Linked DNA regions of Callithrix jacchus. The protein of the gene in region 1 interacts with the protein of each later gene in a biochemical or structural test. Links are inferred from orthologs where the notes say so. Each region holds a gene or a part of one and is shown on either strand. Other genes may lie near its edges.

Region 1 (3,654 bases):
GCTAGAGTGCAATGGCACGATCTCGGCTCACTGCAACCTCCGCCTCCCAAGTTCAAGCTATTCTCCTGTCTCAGCCTCCTGAGTAGCTGGGATTACAGGCAGGCACCACCACACCTGGCTAATTTTGTATTTTTAGTAGAAATGGTGTTTCTCCATGTTGGTTAGGCTGGTCTCAAACTCCTGACCTCAGGTGATCCACCTGCCTCAACCTCCCAAACTGCTGGGATTGCAAACCTGACCAGTTTGCTAGTTTTCTTTTGGAAAATTTTGAGAAATTAATGTTGCCTGAAGTTACTAATTTCAGTTCTAAAATTTTGCATATTGCTTTATATTCTAAGACTTGTAAAGGGTCATAGGAAAATCTTAAGTATGAAAACTGAGCTTGAGATTTCATAAATAATGCTTTCAAGTACATTACACTCTGCTAATGTAGAATGGAGCATTAGAAAAGGAAAATAGATGAGTAAAACTTGAATCCATAGGAGGTAAATGTTACTCTTGTAGTTGTATATAAAATTTTCTTATCATATTTGAGAATTCATCTAGTATCTCTTGAGTCTTTAATGAGAAGCCGAGGTAACATGTATCAGAACGTAATATTAGCTCTCGTGCATCTTAGGCACTTGTTTTAGTCTTTTGTAAATGCCATATGGCAAAATGATCTGTTCAGAGAGGTGTGGGGCTCACCATTTTTTTTTTCATTTTCACACGTGAAGATTTTGATAAATATCCATATCAGAATAGCTCAGAGAATGTCAGTGGTTCTCATGGAGTAGGAGTAAGGTTTGACAAGCCCACCAGAGGATTTTGAGATCTCTCTCTCATATACTCATTTTCCGCATATATTCTGTCCCACACAACTGCCAGTAAGTAGTAAATGGCCAAACGTTAGGTGTAACGGTAAAGAAGCAAAACCTGTGTTTCATAGTTCAGTTGATATTACGTGGTTTTCAATGTAGTCGTTTCTGTTTTCTCAGAAAACATGGAAATATTTTTGTGCTCCTTTTTAAGTAGTGTGACTTGTCATTGGCCTCTAGGTTTTAACAAGTGACTGTGGAGCTTTTCCATAAGTCATAGGGCTTAGGTCCTCAGAGATTATGGAAGAACAGCTGTCACCTCTGGCTCCCTTACATTCCTCCAACCTTTTACACACATTGTGTAGTTTTAATTTCCTTCGCCCCTTTAATGGAAATACAAAGCCTAAAAACAAGGAAATGTATGCTTTGCATTAAGAGTTGAGCATATGCTTAGGAAACAAGCTTTCTGAGCAAATTTAATACAGGTAACGTAGTTTTTTTGAAGTCATGTATTACATCTCAAAGCCCTGAACTGCATGTTTGGAGATCTGGGTTCATTTCAAATTTTTATTAGCTGGATAACCTTGATTGTGTTATTTAATCTTTCTGATTTACAATTATAGGATCTATAAAAAGACAATATCTGCCATGCCTATTTTATAGGATTGTTATAAGGTGCAAATAAGAAAACATTTTGAAAATAAAGACATTATGAAATTGTAAGGTATTATCCTTCAGCATTTGTTCAGCAAAGATTTATTGAGTACTTGCAATGTGCTAGTACTTTATTGGGGTTACAAAAATGGGTGACATATATTCTGTTTTTTATAAGTTTGCAGTCATGGAAGGATGCAGATATGTAATCAGAAAATTGCAAGACACTTTGATAAGGTGCAGTAATTAAGGCCGTTGCAAGACAGAGTTGTGGTCATGTTACCTCTTTTGAAGAAGTAGAGAATACTGCAGTGAGTAAGAAGGCACTGGCAGAAAGTGAACTTGATAAATGAGTCAGCAATCAGATGATGAAGCACTTTGGATGCTAAGGGATTTAGAAATTTGGGCTTAATTTGTAGGCCTGTGTGTCTCAGTGTCCTCTAAAAATCTCATTTCATGAGATTGTGCTACAAAGATGCTGACTGTTGAGGACCGAAGATGATGTTTTTTGCTAAAGTGTTATACACACTATTATTACTGTTATTAGACTCTTCAGTGCTTTTATAATGCTAATAGTGTATTTTGTGAATATGGAGGGTGAGGTTAGGTGGCTGCAGCATATAGCATTTTCCACGTCTATTCCATGTGGACCACCTTTGTTCCTAAGAGCATCTAAGGCACAATTGAGGGAAGTGCTCTTGTCTGTATTGGGGGGGGGTACTGGTGAATTTTAAGCTGGAACATAGTACATGATCAGATTCTTAATTGTCAAGAAAACTCTGGCCGCAGTGGGTGGGATGTATTGGAAGACAATAAAGTAGAAGCAGGGATACTTGCAAGGGAAGCTTTGGCTGGAGGTCAGGAAATAAATGATGAGAGTCTGAAGTACCAGTGGAGTAGAAAGGGGCAAATTTTAGACATATTTAGGAATTAATTTCAGTGGAACTTTGAAGACTGATCAGATTTGGGACTAGGTTTAGCTAGGTAGAGGGAGGAGTCTAGGATGATTTCCAGGTTTTTGGCATATCAGCTAGCATTAATGGAGGTGAGGAATTCAGGATGGAAGAGTAGGTCACAGGCTTATTTATTTATGAGGACTCACTTAAAATGTCTCCCATTTCTGAACCCAGTGATGTACTTTGACTTTCAGCACTTAGTTCACTCTAGAATACAAAAATGTATTGTGTAAAAATAAGTCTTTTTAATGAATTCATTGTTTTGTTTTCCTTTTTTCAGTCAGGGCCCAGTCAAAATTTTGAAGCTGAGTCAATTCAAGATATTGCGGTTATGGAAGAGAGCACAGGTTTCTATCCCTCAGAACCCATGCTCTGCAGTGAATCGGTGGAAGGGCAAGTGCCACATTCATTAGAGACCTTGTATCAATCAGCTAACTGTTCTGATGCCAGTGATGCCTTGATAGTGTTGATACATCTTCTCATGTTGGAGTCAGGTTACACACCTCAGGTAATTACTGCAAGCAAAACACAAACATTATTGCTCCTACATGTGGATGGTTCCTGCTCTCAGGTTGCCCATAGTCTGAGAGTGGCAGAGATAGATAAATATATAAAGCACTGTACTGTATTGGTGAAGTTCTGGGAGAGACATATGCATATATAGGATGCCAGGAATTCATGGAGGAGAACATTTAGAATAGAGCTTCTCAAACTTTAATGTGCTTTGGAATAGCCGGGATCTTACTAAAATGCAGATTCTGATTTAGTAACTGTATAACAGATCGTGAACTTCTGCATATGCCTGCATAATACCAATGGTGCCGGTCTGTGGACCATGTTGTAAGTTACAGAGATCGAGAGTAATTTGGTGATCAGAGCACAGCTGCAGTGTGAGATGCACTGAGCCAGGAATTAGGATATAAAAATGTTGGGCTATTTCTTATCCTCAAGGAGTCCATGCATAAATGGGGGAGAGACAAATGAAAAGATAATTATAAATAACATAAGTAAACCTAGATAATAATACAATAGAAGTGTAATGGAAATATGAATAGAATGTTAGGGGGCAAAAGGAAATGGCAAACAATTTTTCTTTGAAAAAGGCTCTACAGTGGAAGTGATATTTGAGCTGGAGTTTTAAATAATATGGCTTTGCTAGGCAGAGAAGTAAGTCTTTGAAGAGAGAAATTCCTGTTTACATGATGTAATTTTACCTATTTGAACAAAAAATTTTGATTAAAAGTGTT
Region 2 (3,654 bases), on another chromosome or scaffold:
GGGGTAACAAACACAAAGACGCTGAGGTGGGAGTGTGCCTGGCATGTTTGAGGTGCAGCAAAGAGGCCACTGTGGCTGGAAAAGAATAAGTGAAGGGGGAATGTAGGCGGTGAGGTTAGAGGGGTAATGAGGGAGGCAGATTGTGTAAAGCCTACAAGGTCATGGTAAGGACCCTAGCTTTGACCTTAAGTGAGATGGGAACCAGGGGAAGATCGTGGCAGAGGAAGGAGGTTGAATTACATTAACTAGTCAGTTGACTCCTTTTATCTAAGCCAGTTTGGATTAGGTCTCACCCAAAAGAATCCTAACTGATATAAAGGGTCAAGGAAGGCCTTTCTAAACAATGAAGAATGAGAAGGAATGGAAGAATGCCTAATGATTAAGCAGGAGGAAGGCCTTTTCCACAAAAAGGCCAAGAGGCAGCAATGAGCTGTTTGAGGAGCAGTGAGGTCAGTGTGTTAGAAATTAAGTGAATGGTGAAGGAAGGTGGTATAACAACATCCTAGATCATCCGGGGTCTTGATATCATGATAAGGAATGTGGATTTTATTGTGTTGTCAATGTAGGAGTCAGTTTGAGGGGTAAATAAAACTAAATACTATTGGAAAAGTAGACAGCATTAAGACAGGATGCTAAATTGGAAAAAAAAAGTAGTATGAACCCATATGTACCAATATCTCCCATATTTCTTTTTCTAGCCCAGAACTCTCTTCTGAACTTGACTAGGAGTTTTAATGACATCTTCCAAAAATCCACTTCAGTGTTTAATAAGTACATCATACCTAACAGGTTCCAGACTAAACTCCTGACTTTCCCCTCCAAATCCAGTCCTCCCCTACCGTCTCCATCTCAGATAATGGCAACTCCGTCCTTCCAGTTGCTCAGCTAAAAACCTGGACTCCCCTCTCTCACACTTCACATCTAGTCAGCCATTCTACTTAAAATCACGACTGCTCCATTGCTTCTGATCTCCACGATATGCTTTCTCCATAGCACTGTCAACATCTGACATACTACATCATTCGTTTATTGTTTATCTCCCCTGACTAGAATGTCAGCTGTATGAGGGCAGATTTTGGTCTTTTTTGTTTACTGCTGTATCCTCAGGGACCAGAATAATGTCCCTGAGCAGGGACTGTTCTGTGTCAATGGCACAGAGCAGGCACCCAACGTATATTGAATAAGTGCCTACTCCATTCAAAGGAACCTGAAGTTGGTTGAGTGTATGTTTAGGAACAGGAACTAAATGAAGTATGGGTGTTGTTGCCAGAGAGCAAGAATACTTTCAAGAATATTCTGGGGTAATGCTTAAAAAACAGAAGAATGAATCTGATCAGTTCCTAAGGGCCAATTTGAACATAAAAAATGAGAACAAAATTAGTTAATGGTATAAGCTTAGCCTATGAAAACCTATGAGCTTAACACTTAAGAAGAAAAATGCAGTTTACCAAGTGCTAGCTGTAACACAAAAGGGATATGTTTATTACTACTGATTTATTTTTATTTTCTATGTGGAGAAGCAAAGTACTACTGATTTAGCATGTAAGGTAGTGTGAGCAGTCATATGGTTATGCTGTTTCTTCTATAATTACATGTCTATACATGAGATGTGGATGTGTAGTCCTTTCTGTGTCATCAGGAAAGAATATACAGAGATTTCATCCCTTCCACTTCCTGAACAAAGAAATATACTAAGAACAGGAAGAACACTTTTGATCACATAAAATAACCAGAAAGTTAGTTCAAAGTATATCCCAAGTAACCAAGTGTTTTAAAGGGGAGAGCCAGCTACATAGACTCAAATCCTCATCTCTTAGAAAAATTAAACTTCTAGACGGCCCTACTAATTATAATAACGCAATAAAAGAGTCAACTATATTTTTCATCACACTAATAGACCAGGTAGTATATCAAAAAGACCAGGCGAGGGAGCAGGCACTGACAATTTAAATATTTCATTTGGGAGAAGTATACGGAGTCTCAAAAAATTAAAATCTATTTGATAGGCTCAGGAATCCTGTGACATTAACAAGGAAAGCCTTCTTATAAAAACTGGACTTTAGCCAGGTGTCATAGCTCACGCCTTCAATCCCAGCACTTTGGGAGGCTGAGGTGTGCCAATCACCTTAGGTCGTCAGTTTGAGACCAGCCTGGCCAACATGGTAAAACCCCGTTTCTACTAAAAGTACAAAAATTAGCCAGGAGTGGTGGTGAGCACCTGTAATCCCAGCTACCCGGTGCAATGGTGTGCCTGTAGTCTCAGCTACTTGGTAGGCTGAGGCAAGATGACTGCTTGAGCTCAGGAGTTTGAGGATGTAGTATGCTATGATTGCAGCTGTAAACAGTCACTGCATTCCAGCTTGGGCAACACAGCAAGACACCATCTCTTAAAAACAAAAACACAGAGTGTCTACTATATGCTTGTACTACTCTAGTCACCTTGGGTATAAACCAAATCTCCCCCTTTGCAAAACTTATATTCTAATTGGAGGAGACAATATGAGAAAGAAATTACACAGTAAATATTAGGGCATGATAAGTGTTATGGAAAAAAAGTAGAAGGAGGGGAATCAAGTGTGCCAGGGGCTGTGATTTTAAAGTTAGGTTACAGAGCACCTGGTTGAGGAAGTGACATTTAAGCAAGACAACTGAGTAAGGAGAAAGGAAGCCATGTGGGTACTGGGGAAAAGAGCAGTGCAGGCAGAGAGAACAGCCACGGCAATTGCCCTGGGGTGGGATCATTCTTGGGATGTTGAAAGAAGCATGTGAAGGTCAGTGTGGCAGGAACACAGTGAATGAATAGTAAAATTAGCAGGAAGTGAAATCACAGGTAACTAGTTTTCTTGTTACCAATTTTAACAGGCTGAGACCTCATGGATCTGGTCATAATTCTATTTATGTATAACAGTGTAGTCCTTCTAGATTGAAAGCCTTCAAGGAACTCTTCTGTCTTGTTCACTGCTGCATTCCCACTGCTAAGCAATGCCTGGCATACAGAAGATGCCCAATAAATGTTTACATGAACAAACAATACAAAGATCATTTTTTGAATGCTTATTATGTGCTACACATGGGCTTTGCATCCCCATTTCTTCAGTCCCAGCTCTGAGGAGGTGGGGAGATGAGTCCTTAAATATCATTCCAGGCAGCCATTGGGAAAGAAAGGAGAGTGTTGGAAATGGTAGTGTTTTTACACACTATCCTCATGGAATGGACTTACTCTGTGAGGAGAGAGCTCTTACGATCAATGAACCTGAGAGCTTCTGCCAGTGTCAACTCCAGGAAAAAACCATATCCCAGGGCCACATAGATGCGTGAAGTATCTGGGCTGAGGAGAGAGAGGTTAGAGGAAGTGGAGGGGAGTCCTCATCACTGTTTAGCATAGTTTATGTTTTGCTTCCCACCCTTCCCCAAATTGAGCCTCTGGGAAGGCAGGGATTTTGTCCGATTTTAATCACTGTCACATCCCAGCACCTAGCTTATATCCTATTGGGATATAAAATCTTGTATAGTGCCTGGTATATAGAAGATACTCAAAAAAATATATGTTGCATGAGGGAAGGGGGAAGCTGAACCCCGTGGGCTCAGAGGGATGGGTAGACACTCACACCACTGTGTCAACGAAGAAGTTACAGCCCAAATCCACCTGCATAT

The links.
Region 2: of the proteins of FBXO7 (region 1) and UXT, one has a biochemical effect on the other in vitro, tested with the Homo sapiens proteins (2 studies listed by BioGRID). The link is inferred for Callithrix jacchus from reciprocal best matches to the Homo sapiens genes FBXO7 and UXT.

The regions. Positions count from the first base shown.
Region 1 is NC_133502.1:203,537,134-203,540,787, reverse strand, and holds part of FBXO7 (F-box only protein 7), read left to right. Parts: intron 1-2,687; coding exon 2,688-2,915; intron 2,916-3,654. UniProt on the Homo sapiens protein: Substrate recognition component of a SCF (SKP1-CUL1-F-box protein) E3 ubiquitin-protein ligase complex which mediates the ubiquitination and subsequent proteasomal degradation of target proteins and plays a role in several biological processes such as cell cycle, cell proliferation, or maintenance of chromosome stability.
Region 2 is NC_133524.1:48,614,926-48,618,579, forward strand, and holds part of UXT (protein UXT), read right to left. Parts: coding exon 3,609-3,654; intron 3,329-3,608; coding exon 3,221-3,328; intron 1-3,220. UniProt on the Homo sapiens protein: Involved in gene transcription regulation. Acts in concert with the corepressor URI1 to regulate androgen receptor AR-mediated transcription. Together with URI1, associates with chromatin to the NKX3-1 promoter region.